Callithrix jacchus: one gene and its partner. The protein of the gene in region 2 purifies or fractionates together with the protein of the main gene of each other region. This does not show direct contact. Links are inferred from orthologs where the notes say so. Each region holds a gene or a part of one and is shown on either strand. Other genes may lie near its edges.

The links.
Region 1: the proteins of KPNA4 (region 2) and MECP2 purify together in Homo sapiens (affinity purification with mass spectrometry; 3 studies listed by BioGRID and IntAct, counting the BioPlex papers as one, with this or other methods). This does not show direct contact. The link is inferred for Callithrix jacchus from reciprocal best matches to the Homo sapiens genes KPNA4 and MECP2.

Annotation. Positions count from the first base shown.
Region 1 is NC_133524.1:150,007,705-150,013,839, forward strand, and holds the start of MECP2 (methyl-CpG-binding protein 2), read right to left. Parts: upstream 3,593-6,135; 5' UTR 3,560-3,592; coding exon 3,501-3,559; intron 3,030-3,500; exon of another isoform or gene 2,869-3,029; intron 1-2,868. UniProt on the Homo sapiens protein: Chromosomal protein that binds to methylated DNA. It can bind specifically to a single methyl-CpG pair. It is not influenced by sequences flanking the methyl-CpGs.
Region 2 is NC_133518.1:24,741,230-24,747,152, forward strand, and holds the start of KPNA4 (importin subunit alpha-3), read left to right. Parts: upstream 1-2,328; 5' UTR 2,329-2,618; coding exon of another isoform or gene 2,619-2,687; intron 2,688-3,268; 5' UTR 3,269-3,322; coding exon 3,323-3,406; exon of another isoform or gene 3,407-3,782; intron 3,783-5,923. UniProt on the Homo sapiens protein: Functions in nuclear protein import as an adapter protein for nuclear receptor KPNB1. Binds specifically and directly to substrates containing either a simple or bipartite NLS motif.

The DNA of each region.
Region 1 (6,135 bases), on a different chromosome or scaffold from region 2:
AAAACAGCCAGACACCACAGTAGGGACACATTCACACGCCAACAGACCCAGCATACATATGCCTTAAAGAAGTTATATCAGGCTTTATTCTCTAATGAAACAGTCATTCCCCCTCTAATGTGGGAGTGAGGATGCCCTGACCACCCCACAATTCTGGCTCCCACTCAGTTATCCCACACACCATACATAGCATCAAAGTGGTGGAACCAAAGTATTTAAGCAATAGCAGGCAAACCAAGCTTTTGACAGGAAAAGGTTTTTCGCAAGAGAAAGGCAGAAGAGAACAGGTAAAAGCAGAAGAGCATAACTTCTACTTAAGCAAGCCGAAAGAAAAGGGACCTGTTCACATCTTGTCCTACCCGAATGATGCACACGCACAGGGGCTTGCTGGGACAGCAGGAGTTTCAATGACCAGGGCTAGTATGGAAGCACCGAGGACAAGGCCCTTCCATCGCAGTTGTGATCATGCTCTATCCAAGCAGAAAGGATCACGTCTGCCAGCCACGAGAGACTGGGCTGCATGGATGTCACCAGAGCAGAGGGCAGGAAAACAAGCAGGTGTCCTGCCACACTCTTTGGAACTGGCCAGTCTAGGACTGTGCTTTACCCCCCACACTGAAAACACTGGTTACTAGTAATACCAAACATTTTCGGAGATTCTCTCCTCCTCCGAGATAACTTGGGCATTCTGAGAACAAACTGCTCTTAGCTAATTAAAAGATTTCTGCTGATATTAGCCTTAGTAAAAGATTTCAGGTTCCAGGACACGTCATTTATCATGCAGAGTTCCAAGCAGGCACATTTGCAGTGGAAACCGGGCTCCAGTAAGGTTAAAGAAATGAACTTCTCGTTCCATCTCCACATGGGAGGAATGTTCTGGAGGGACAACATCCTAAATTCATCTAGCCAGTTTTTTTTTTTTTTTTTTCCCAAACTCCACAGCATGCCTCCCTGCCCCGATAGATGAGACTGCACAGAGGCAGGGCAGGCACGGGAAATGACTCGTTGGAAATCACAAACACATACACACAGAATGCAAGCACCCTAACTCTTTGAACACACAGTGGTCTGTGCCTGGCCCCAGACCTACCTCAGGATTTCAACAGCACAAAAGTCAGAATACGGCTGACTGCATGATACTCTCCTACCAATCAGGTGAAACAAAGACCCGGTACTCTAAAGTATTCCAGGCAAAATTTTAATAACAGGCAATAGAAAGGTTTGATAGGCCAGTGCTAACAAGAAAGCCTTCGACATTTTCTTCAAGCCGTTAGGACAATGGAAAGGGAGGTACCCCTCCAACAGGCACCCTGCAGAGAAAACTATACTCTGGAAGCTGCCTGTGCTGTTGAAAGGGCTAGGCGTGTGACAAACAGCTAACTGGAGGGGTACCAGGGAGACAAACTGCCAACTATGAAGAACAAAGCAGAGACCTTAACTTGTCATGTCTCAAGCTGAGATGTACAAACTCTGTGATCATCAAGTGAGGCTTGTGTGTCTGCCTGGGGATGTGACTGTATTCCAGTGATCAGCCACCTAGCTGACCTGCCACGAATGGGTGACCTCTGGTGACTTATTTTAATAACCGTACTTACTACTTCTAGATTGACTGTGTTATTTAAGGTTCTGACATATCCAGGTAAGAAAATAAAAGCAAGTGTTTCCTAGACTCCTGACTGGGATTTGAAACAGAAATCCTGAAAAGCCCATAAATAAGCCTATTTTCCTAAATCCTTGGTGGAAATTCCCAAAAGATGAAAAAATCCAGACCCTGTCTTATTATAGGGACCTAGCATATTTCAAAAGACCCAAGAGGTCAGCTGACTCTGGTTATTAACTGAAATTGCTGAGACACAGATGAACATCCCAGGCACGGAATCCAAAATTCTCTAGAGTGATAATTATCTATGACTGCAATGATACTACCGAGGCCGTATATACTTCATTTTTACAGTATAACAAAATGCCTATAACTTAGAAGAGCCCTTCAATGTTCAGGCCACTCAATACCAGATCCAAGTAGGTTTGGTTCCTCGATTACCAACCAAGCCCTGAATTCGATCCTGTTATCTCAACAGTTTGGGGTACTGATCCCACACAGCATACAGACAACCTGTGAAAGGCTCGGCAGAGCCCATTCTTGTTCCTGGAAAAATAACCAGAAGCACACATCTGCCTGACCATGAGTCAGGAATATCAATTTTGTGGTGGAGCCCATTTCTGCTGTGACCAACCCACACCCGAACACACTCACAACAGAAGCAACCCCCACAGAGCAATTCCAGAATGAGCTTTTTCCCCCTCGGGGTCCATACTTATCAATGTCATAAACGGTCTCCCCTTCGAGAGCAATCCTTTTAAACTCTTCATAATGACCCTAAGTCTTTAGTGCAAAACCACAGAAACATTGCCACTGCCACACAAAAGTCATCTGAGTTTCAGTTTGGGTGATTCGGTCATAACCAAACTCAACAGAGAATAACCTTTCGGGCACAATGAACAGTAGCCACAGCGTCGCGATAAACTTGCCCCATCTCGTACCGGTGATCCGGAGCGCTCCAGGGCGATGAGAGCCCGTTACCTACTATGTCCCACTCCACTTATGTAACTGGAAGATCGCCGGCGAAGGGGGGGTAGGATGGGAGGGTGCTCACATTCCGAGGCCACAGCACCCCCAAAGAACCTCTGAGCACCCTGAGGACACGCTCACACCTAAGAGCCTCAGGCGCCGAAGAGCCTCGGGTGCTGCTGGACGCACAGCACCCTACCCACGGCTCCTGATGGGAACTATAACCACCCCTTTATGATGAGTTGTGGGACCCAGAACACAATGTCTAGTCCCTTTTGTGGACAATAATCCCCACCTACTTGTTCCTGCTAGATGGGGAAAGGAGCCGGCGGACCGACTCGCTCGCAGTGGGGGCAGAAATTCATGGAATGGGCGAGAAGGAGGGGGAGGCAAAGCCCGGAGATGGGGGTGAGAGCGCAGGAGCCCTTGTGGCGCACTCTCCCGACGGGAGGCGAAGTGCGCACGCGCGCCGGTGGGGGGGCCGAGTAACGGGAGAGGGGGCGCGCGAGGGAGGGAGAGGGGAGAGCGCGATCCAGGGAGAGACCGGGGCCGCGGGCGCGCGACGACGCCGCGGCCCAAAGCCCCGAAAAGGGCAGGAGCGCGCGCAGCCCCGACAGGCGAAGCCCCGGCGACAGCGGCGCCCGCGGGGCCGGGGGCCGGGGGCCGGGATGCGCGCAGAGGGCGGGAGAAAGAGGTGCGCCAGGCGAAGGAGGCTCCGGGGAGGCCGCGCCGAGGACGGTCACCCGCGAGCACGGGTGACGGGCCGAGGGGGAGAGTCGCCACCGGCGGAGGGAGGGGGAGGGTACAGAGGAGGGACGCCATCCGCCAGCCGTGTCGTCCGACCCCGCGGGCCCCTCCCGCGCCACGTCCCGCCCCTGTCCCCCGCCCCCCAGCAAGGGTCCCCGCCCGCGGCCACGGCGGTCCCACTCACAGTCTCTCCTCCTCGCCTCCTCCTCCTCCTCCGCTCGGCGCGGCGGCGGCGGCGGCCATTTTCCGGACGGCTTTTACCACAGCCCTCTCTCCGAGAGGAGGGAGCGCGCGCGCCGCCGACGCCGGGACCCCGCACGGCCGACGTCGCGCCCCGCCCTCCCGGCCGGCCCGCGCGCTGCTGCACCTGCGCGCCCGCGCCCCGCCCCCGGCGCAGCTGCGAGCCCACCCGTCATTGGCTGGGGCGGCCGGGTTGGGGCGGGGAGTCTCAGCGGTGATGTCGTCAATTGGCGAGATTTTCTGTCCATTTCGGCCAGGGAAAAGAGGGCAGACCCCTCTAGCTGTTCATTGGCTGCTTTCGGCCGTCGTTTGGGGAAAAGAGGCGGCTTGGGCGCGGAGGGGTTTAGTGGGCGGAATTTGAATGTTAAGGATTAATGGGCCCTTGCGGATGCTGGGGCAAGTGAAGGTGTAGGCTTGGGACGTTGTTTGCGTCCCAAGCAAACCCTCTGTCCGCAGATGCATCGAGTGCGCTGCAAAAGGGTTGCATTGCACCCGCATTTTCTCAATATCACCATCTTCAGCAGAAGCAGCAAAGTTGTCCGCCCTGGAGCCTGACGTTGCTCCAGCTGAGGGGCCTTGGTTTCAGAGGCCTACTCGTTGCATTATTTCATCTGAGCCTGCCGGGTGCTTACGCTCATAGGGGCGGGGAATAAACTGACGACAAATCCCAACCCTGGCCTTCGCAGAACTCTGGCGGGGGAAGAGAGTGCATGCCAAGGCCTCGTGACACCTGTCATTGTTGGATCAGATGGTTTGGTGGAGGTGTGAATAAGGAGCGCAGAGAAAGCTGCACTTAGGTCTTCCTGGAAGATGTGATTTGGGAGCTGAGATCCAGCAGTTTTTCACTTTCCTAGAAGAGTTGATTTGCAGTTGAGATCCAGCAACTGTGTTTTGGGAAAATAAGAGTATAGAAAAAGTGTTAGCCAACCAGGCGTTCAGGACAGGGATGTTTGTTAAGGGGACCTTACCCTGGTGCCAGTCATTATCCAATCCATGCAATGATCTTTGTGTTAGTTCTGTGCTTAGCAAGAAAACCTGGTTCTGATTTGGCTGCCTGCCCCCATTCATTTATTGACTACCTGCTATGTGCCAGGCACTCTTCCAGGTTCTGGGTGCACAGTACTGAACAGACAGCAGACTAACATTCTTGCCGGGAGAGTCATACTAGCATACAAATAAGTCTAATATGTAATTTCACATAGTGATAAAGGCTTCAAGAAAGAAAGTAAGAGTGAAGGGAATGCTGTTTAGATAGCTACTGGTTTTCACCCTCATTTTCCTCCCCCTTATGAATATCTGGGGAAAGAACATTCCAGGCAAGTTCAAAGGCCATGAGGAGAGACTATGCCTGGCATGTTGGGGACTAACAAGGAGGTCAATGTTGCTGGAAAGTGGTAGGGAATGTGATTGGAGAGGCAGCCGGGGCCACTATGAGAATTGGGAGTTTATTCTTTTTTTTTTTTTTTTTTTTTTTTTGAGATGGGGGCTCATTCTGTTGCTCAGGCTGCAGTGCAGTGGTGCAATCTTGGCTCATTGTAAACATCCACCCCAAGCTCAAAGCAATCCTCCCTCCTCAGCATCCTAAGTAGCTGGGACCACAGATGCGCACCACCACACCTGGCTAAGTTTTTGTATTTTGGGGAGAGATAGAGTTTCACTATGTTGCCCAGACTGGTCTCAAACTTCTGAGTTCAAGTGATCTGCCTGCTTTGCCCTCCCAGCCAGAACCGACAGTGTATTCTAACGTGAGAAACCCTCAGAGGATTTTGAGCCGGGAGCTGACATCCTCTGATCTATGTTGCAGGTGTAGAGTGGAGAACTGGATGTGATGTGACAGAACTATGGTACAAGGCTAGTTGCAAGGCCCTGGAACAGTCTAGGAGAGAGAGATGATGGTGGCTTTAACTACAGTGGTAGCAGTGTACCTCTGAGAACTTGTGAGATTCAAGATATATTTTCAAAATTGAACAAAAGGATTGGATGCAAGGCACAGAGAAAGAGAAGAAACAAGGATGACACCTGAGATTGGGGCCTGAGCACCTGGAGGAATAAGGGTGCCTTTCACCATGGTGGGGAGAACTACAGAAAGAGTACATTTTCAGATGTGTAGCTCAAGAGTTCTGCTTTGGCCATATTAAGCTTGGGGTGCCCAGTGGTGTGAAAGTGAAGATTGGGTGTGTGATGCTGAAGTACAGGGATGCAGTCATCAAGCTGAACGTCCAGTTCAAGAAACCATAAAGAAACGACAGAATAAACCTGGAAAAGTAGAAGAAAAAAATAAGGATGAACAAACTTAACGAAATAGAAATAAATGATAGAAAGAATGGAGAAAACTTTGAAACTCCTTGTTTGAAATGCTGAAAAACAAAAGCCAAGCCTCTAACACGCTGGATATAAAGAGAAAAGAGAAAAATAAATTATATTACTCATTAAAAGGTTTTATTATGAACTGTGTGTCAGTAAATTTGAAAACAAGCAAAATGAATAAATTCCTAGAAAAGTACAGCTTACCAAAACAAACTCTAGAAAAAGAAAATCCCTGTAACCACAATGAAATTAAATTGACTATATATTTAAAA
Region 2 (5,923 bases):
CCACTGATGAAGACCCAGGGGCCAGAGGTGGACACCTTGTAGGACTTCTGGGTCACCCTAATGGACATCAGGGAGGCAGGAGTGGAGGCAGGCGGGCTGAACAAGGCAGACATTCCAGAAGGAGGGGAGAAGCTGCTGCTTGGTCTCAATCCACATTTTTATCAAGAGGTGTTAGCTTATTTTTCAATTTAAGTGGAGGACTGCGGCATTTCTCTAATACTTAAAGGCATTTTTTTCTGATTTTCCTGTTGTATGTCTTCATGTCTCCAGCTTCATGTATACCTCTTTAGGGGTATACACTCTTGCATTTGACAAATAGTCCCTGAGTATTTATGTGCCAAGTACTATGAGGTGTTGGGTATAAAGTAGTGAACAAAACAAGTATGGTTCTTGACTTCAGAGAGCTTGCTGTCTAGGGAGGAATGCAGATTTTAGATAAACAAATCAAATTATAAATTGCAGTTATTTCCTATTTATATTGCATCTCTCTCAGTTGGTAACTAATCACAGCCCTTTTCTAGGAGTCTTCTGCCTGTAGCTGGAGACATGAAGACATATAACAGATACTTCTATAAACTTCATCATGAACGCTACCATGAAATTTATTCCAAGTACAAAATATTCATCTATTGACATGTTCACAAGATAACTTTTATTCATAAGGTGGGAATTCACTGGTAATTTGTTTTCTTGAACACTGCTTATGATAAAATCTATGATGGAACATAATACACATACATTCCAGCTTTTCAAGAGAATGTTCTTATCCTAAACTCATTTTGAAAAACATTAGTGCTCTGGTTTGTAAATACAATGTTACTTCAATTAAATGAGTCTTTGAGGAGTAACAGTTTCTAATGGAATGTCATTTGTATTTAAGATCTGTACTGAATTTATATTCAAGTCAACCTTCAGTGTGAGTTATTTCCAGGCACAGCTTGTTTGCCACAGCCCAGCTGATGGCATATAAAGTACTGAGGACTTTAAAGTTTCCACTCTGCTTCCTAAGTTTTTACCTTCCTTTCCCCCACTACAATATCCTCTCCAAAGTGATTCCTAAAGTACTCCAGCTCTTTTCATTGCCTCTCCCCCAAAGGAAACTCAGTTGTTTATATGTGTTAAACCCACTGACTTCTTCCATTTTAATTTTAAAATCCCCTCTTTAGGCTTAAAAAGTGTTTCCTTAAGGAACATCTGCATTTTAAACATTTATCTCTGCACGTTGTTCTACTTAATACTAGAAAGGACCGGGAGTCAAAGATTCTGAAGGAGTTTGTATCAGGCTGTCTTCTCCCTATCTCGCCAAGTTTAAACACGCGCAACGCCTCGATTCCTTGCTTCCAACCTGAATAGCTTCTTTACCTCTCTCTGTACATTTGAGGTGTTATTCGTTGATATTTAAATATATTTTAAAATAATTTTCCATTTCTGTTTTCTGACATTTTTGAATACGTTCTTTCGTATTTCATGTCATTTCTGCCTCTGCTAACGATGTCCCTGGTATCCTTGGAGTGCATTACCTTTTTCAACAGTCACAATATTCCCTGTCAGCTGCCACGGGCCCCGCCCTCCAGAAGTTCATACTTTGTGGTCAAGCAGCTTCTTTAACTTTCTAAGAGGAATTATCTAGGAAGTGCTATTGTCCCAGAATCACCAGCTCTTCTAAATTCCTACCTGCTGCGGGCGCTTAGTCAGAGAAGATGAATCAGATTCGTCTAATGGGCCCCTCTCCTTTTCCAGCCACCGTCCGTGTAGCTTTCCGCTGAGCCTCCTCAACTCGAGTCATCCCAGCAGGTCCCGGCCCCGATACCCGCCCAGGACGGCAGGGAGCCCCTGCCCGGGAACGGAGCTGCGAGTGTCCGACTGAAGAGAGAGCGAAGCTCAGATCTACCTCTGCAAAGCGAACGAAGAGAGCAAGGAATGCCCAGGAAGACAGGGCACGCCCAGGGAGAAAAGAACGTTACTTTAACGCGGCGTCGACCCTGGATCCCTGGCATCTAGGGCTGCCCGGCCACGTGGATCAAAACAACTCGCCCTGCCGCGTTCCCGGGCCTCTCCTTCCTTTTGCCGGCTTCCCCTAAAGTCTACTTCTCCGTCGCTTCCTCCCCGCCTCTCCGAAGGCACGTGGTCCTTCCCGGCCTGCCCCCGCCGCACCCCTCCAGGCCGGTAGCCGGCTCCTCCTAGCTTCGTTCGCTTCCCCTTTCTGTTTGCTCTTTCCGCCTCGGCTCTCCATCGCCCCTTCTGATTGGCCGAACGCACCGAAGCCTGGTTGGCCAATGGGAGAGCTGGGCTGGAGGCAATGGGCGTGGCCGCAGCGCCGGGGCCCTCAGAGCGAGGCTTCCTCCCCCTCTCAGCCGGCAGCACATTCCGCCGCCGTTGCCGCCGCCCGGCCCCACAGTTGTCTTTGCCGGAGCTGCAGTCGCGCTGGGGTTAGGGCGGGGGGGCGGGCGGGGAGAGGAGAAGGCCGCGGCGGAGGCAGGTGAGAGGAGGAAGGAAGCGGCGGCGCGGCGGGCACAGCAGTTCAGGCGGCGGCCCGGTTCCTGGGAGTGTCGGTGCGGCGCGGTGGTTGGGGCGGATCCCGCGGGGCCCGGGCGGGGGAAGGAGTCACCGGCCCGGCCATGGCGGACAACGAGAAACTGGACAACCAACGGCTCAAGAATTTCAAGAACAAAGGCCGCGACTTGGAGGTAAACTCGGGGACGACGCCGGAGGGGTGGGGGCCGTGGGCCTGGGGCCGGTCCCCGCCGGGACCCCGCGTGTGGGGAGTAGGGGCGGGAGCCGCCTCCGGGCCTCGGGGAATGGCGCTGGGGGCCGGCCCGTCCGTGACGCCTCTCCTAACGCGCCGGGAAGTTTATGTTGGGCCTGCTACGCCTCTGCCTGGAAGCGAGGTGCCCGGGTACGGCCGACGCGGCCTAGGCCTGCCCGGCGGAGCCGGCCCGAAGCGGGTGCGAGGGGCCGGGCCGCGCCGCGCGGCGGGGAGGCCGGGCGCGGCGCGGCGCGTGCGGAGGTGGCTTGCGTGTGCGGCCGGCGCTGCTTCAGCCGGGCCGCGGCCCCCTCCCTGCAGCGGCGGAGATTCCTGCTCTCGCTAGGGCACCGACGTCTGGCGCCGCGGGAAGGAGGGCGGTGGGGTGGGAGGGTGAGCGTGTGGCTACCGAGTGGGGCTCTGAACTTCCTCAGCGAGGCCCGAGGCGTCTCCACTTAAAGGCATTTTTTCTGGTCTTCCCGACTCCCGCTTTACCCCTGCCTCCCCCCAATATCCAAACTGCAGGAGTCAACTTCTCCGTTGAAAAAAACACCCCCGGCGTGAGAGGCCATCCTGGTGATGCTTACAGTGCCTTCCAGCGGCCTGTGTTTTACTCTGGATATAGCTGATTCAAGATGTGGCTCACGGTGTGCCCTCTTCCAGGCAAAGGATACCCCTTATTTCAGCTTGTCCACAAATCTCTTTACCCCCTCCTGAGAGGAGACCACCAGCTGCATTCTTACATATAAAGTCCAAAGGGTTATACAAAGCTGTCATCCTCTAGTCTACAGTATCCTTTCCCTCCACCTGCTGGTGGTGGTAGTGGGGGATGGGGTGGGCTAAGGAATGGCACCATCACGTTTGATTATTTAAAAAGAAAAAAAAAAAAAAACGCTTCATTGTCTTAGATACAGCTGCTCCCGAGATTCTCAGTCTACGTAAAGTGTATGGGTTAAACACACATGCACACAAGCATACCCACACACCCCACTGAAATTTTTGATAGAAGACTTCTTCCCTTCAGCTTTTAAGAGTTTAGGTAAATAGATTTTTTTAAAAAACTACTTCCTTTCTGCATCTTAATCACGAGTTTAGCTTTTAGGGAAAGTGGTCAAGCAGTATTTTTTTTGCCGTTCCTCGGTACATTTTCGTAGTGAAATCTTTAACTTCCCATGGCATGTTTCTCAACATGAGCATTTGCTTGACTAAAATATTTTTTGGGCTTTTCAGACACCTGTTAATATTATCTTGAAAGTAGTTTATGCTGTTTTAGTGGATTTCATAATTTGAGGGACTTCTAAGTGTCCAGGGCTGCTAATTCTGTGATTCTTTTAAGGTTAACATTATCGTTGTGATCCCTTTTTTTTTTAATGCAAAAGTATAACTTCTTTCTTGAGATAATTCACATACCATAAAAATTAGCTTCTTAAATAACAGTGATTTTCAGTAAATTTACTTGGTTACGAAAGAATGTGGTGAAAATGTTTTCTATTAATATGCGTATTTACTTAGAATGAGAAAAAATCACAAATGATGAAACTTAAAAACTGCTAAGTACCACAAAATTACAGAATCCAGAAAAATAGCAATTAGGTGCTTGGCAGATCCCTATAACCCTTTTTTCCTCTACATTTCTGGCTTCATTTTTCTAGCAGCTTCATTGAGATGTAATTCGCATATGATACAATTCACCCACCTAACGTGGCTTTTTAGTTTATTCATATAGTTTTGCAACCATCACCACAATCAATCTTAGAACATTATCACCACCCCAAAAAGAAACCTGTGCTCATTAACAGTCTGTCTCCAATTCCCAACTACCCCAGCCCAAGGCAACCAGTTTCTGTCTTTTTAGACTTGCTTATCCTGGACATTCTATATAAATGGGATTGTACAATTTGTACTTTTTTGTAACTGGTTCTTTCAGATAGTGTAATGTTTTCAAGCTGTATCCATGTTGTAACAAGAATGTATCAGTGTTTCATTTCTTCTTATGGCCGAATGATCCTCCAGCTTATGGATATACCACATTTTACTTATCCATTCATCAGTTAATGGACATTTTCATTGTTTCCACTTTTTTTTTTTTTAGCTATTTTACATGATACTGCTAAGAACATTTTTGTATGGACGTATGTTTTATTTCTCTTGGCTATATACCTAGGTATAGAATTGCTAGATCATTTGGAAACTTACGTTCAACCTTTTATGGAATTGCTAGGCTTTCTGGAGTTAACCTTATTTTTTAAATTGATGTTTCCTCTTACCGCATGTCTGTCAGCACTTTAGTCAAAATCAGATTAAGTGCCGAGTCTGTATTAGACAAATACTGTGATGTGTGACTTTTAAAAAATAAGTATATATTGACATCAGCCAGGTTTTTTTGTTTGTTTGTTTTTTTGTTTTTTAGAAATTCATAGTGCCTTATGGTTGTCCTCCAGTGACTTTGAAATCCTTGTGTGTACATTAGGAGTAGGAATATTTTCACTTTTCCATCTAAGGAGATAACATATGACTCTAATGGAAAGTCCTACATTGTCCACACTGTGACTTACTCAAAATCACGTACACTTGTAATGAGATAGAAGCATCCTTTTTTATACTTGGAGAGCACTATGGTGCTCTATTTTGTGTATTTGTTACTTACATATATGCCTGTATCTCTTTAAAAACTTATCATCCTTTAGGTATGGTTACTACATTGTGTTACATAATGTATGTAGAATAAGCAAATTCCAAGAAAATAATTGCTTTTGCATTTAGATCTCATGATGACATCTATTCCATGGGAGGTCTTTGGAAAGAAGTACAGACCAGTGCTGTCCAATGAATTTAACTTAATCCATTATATCCAAAATACCATTGCAACATCTAATTTGTGTAAAATAATTGACACGTTTTATATTATTCCTTTTATACTTCAAAATCCATAATTTTACAGTTATGGCATACCTCCACTTGGACTAGCTGCATTTCAAATGATTAATAGCCACATGTGGCTAGGGGCTGCCATATTGGAACAGCCCATGTACAGAGAACAGCATTTAGGGAGAGCTAATTGTAGCATATTTTGATCTAACAGTTTATTTGATTAGAAATGATGAAGAGTACAAAGTCCTAGAGTTTAGTTTAATCTGATCACTAACTTTGCATATGACCTTGGGGAAAATTGCTTAGTCT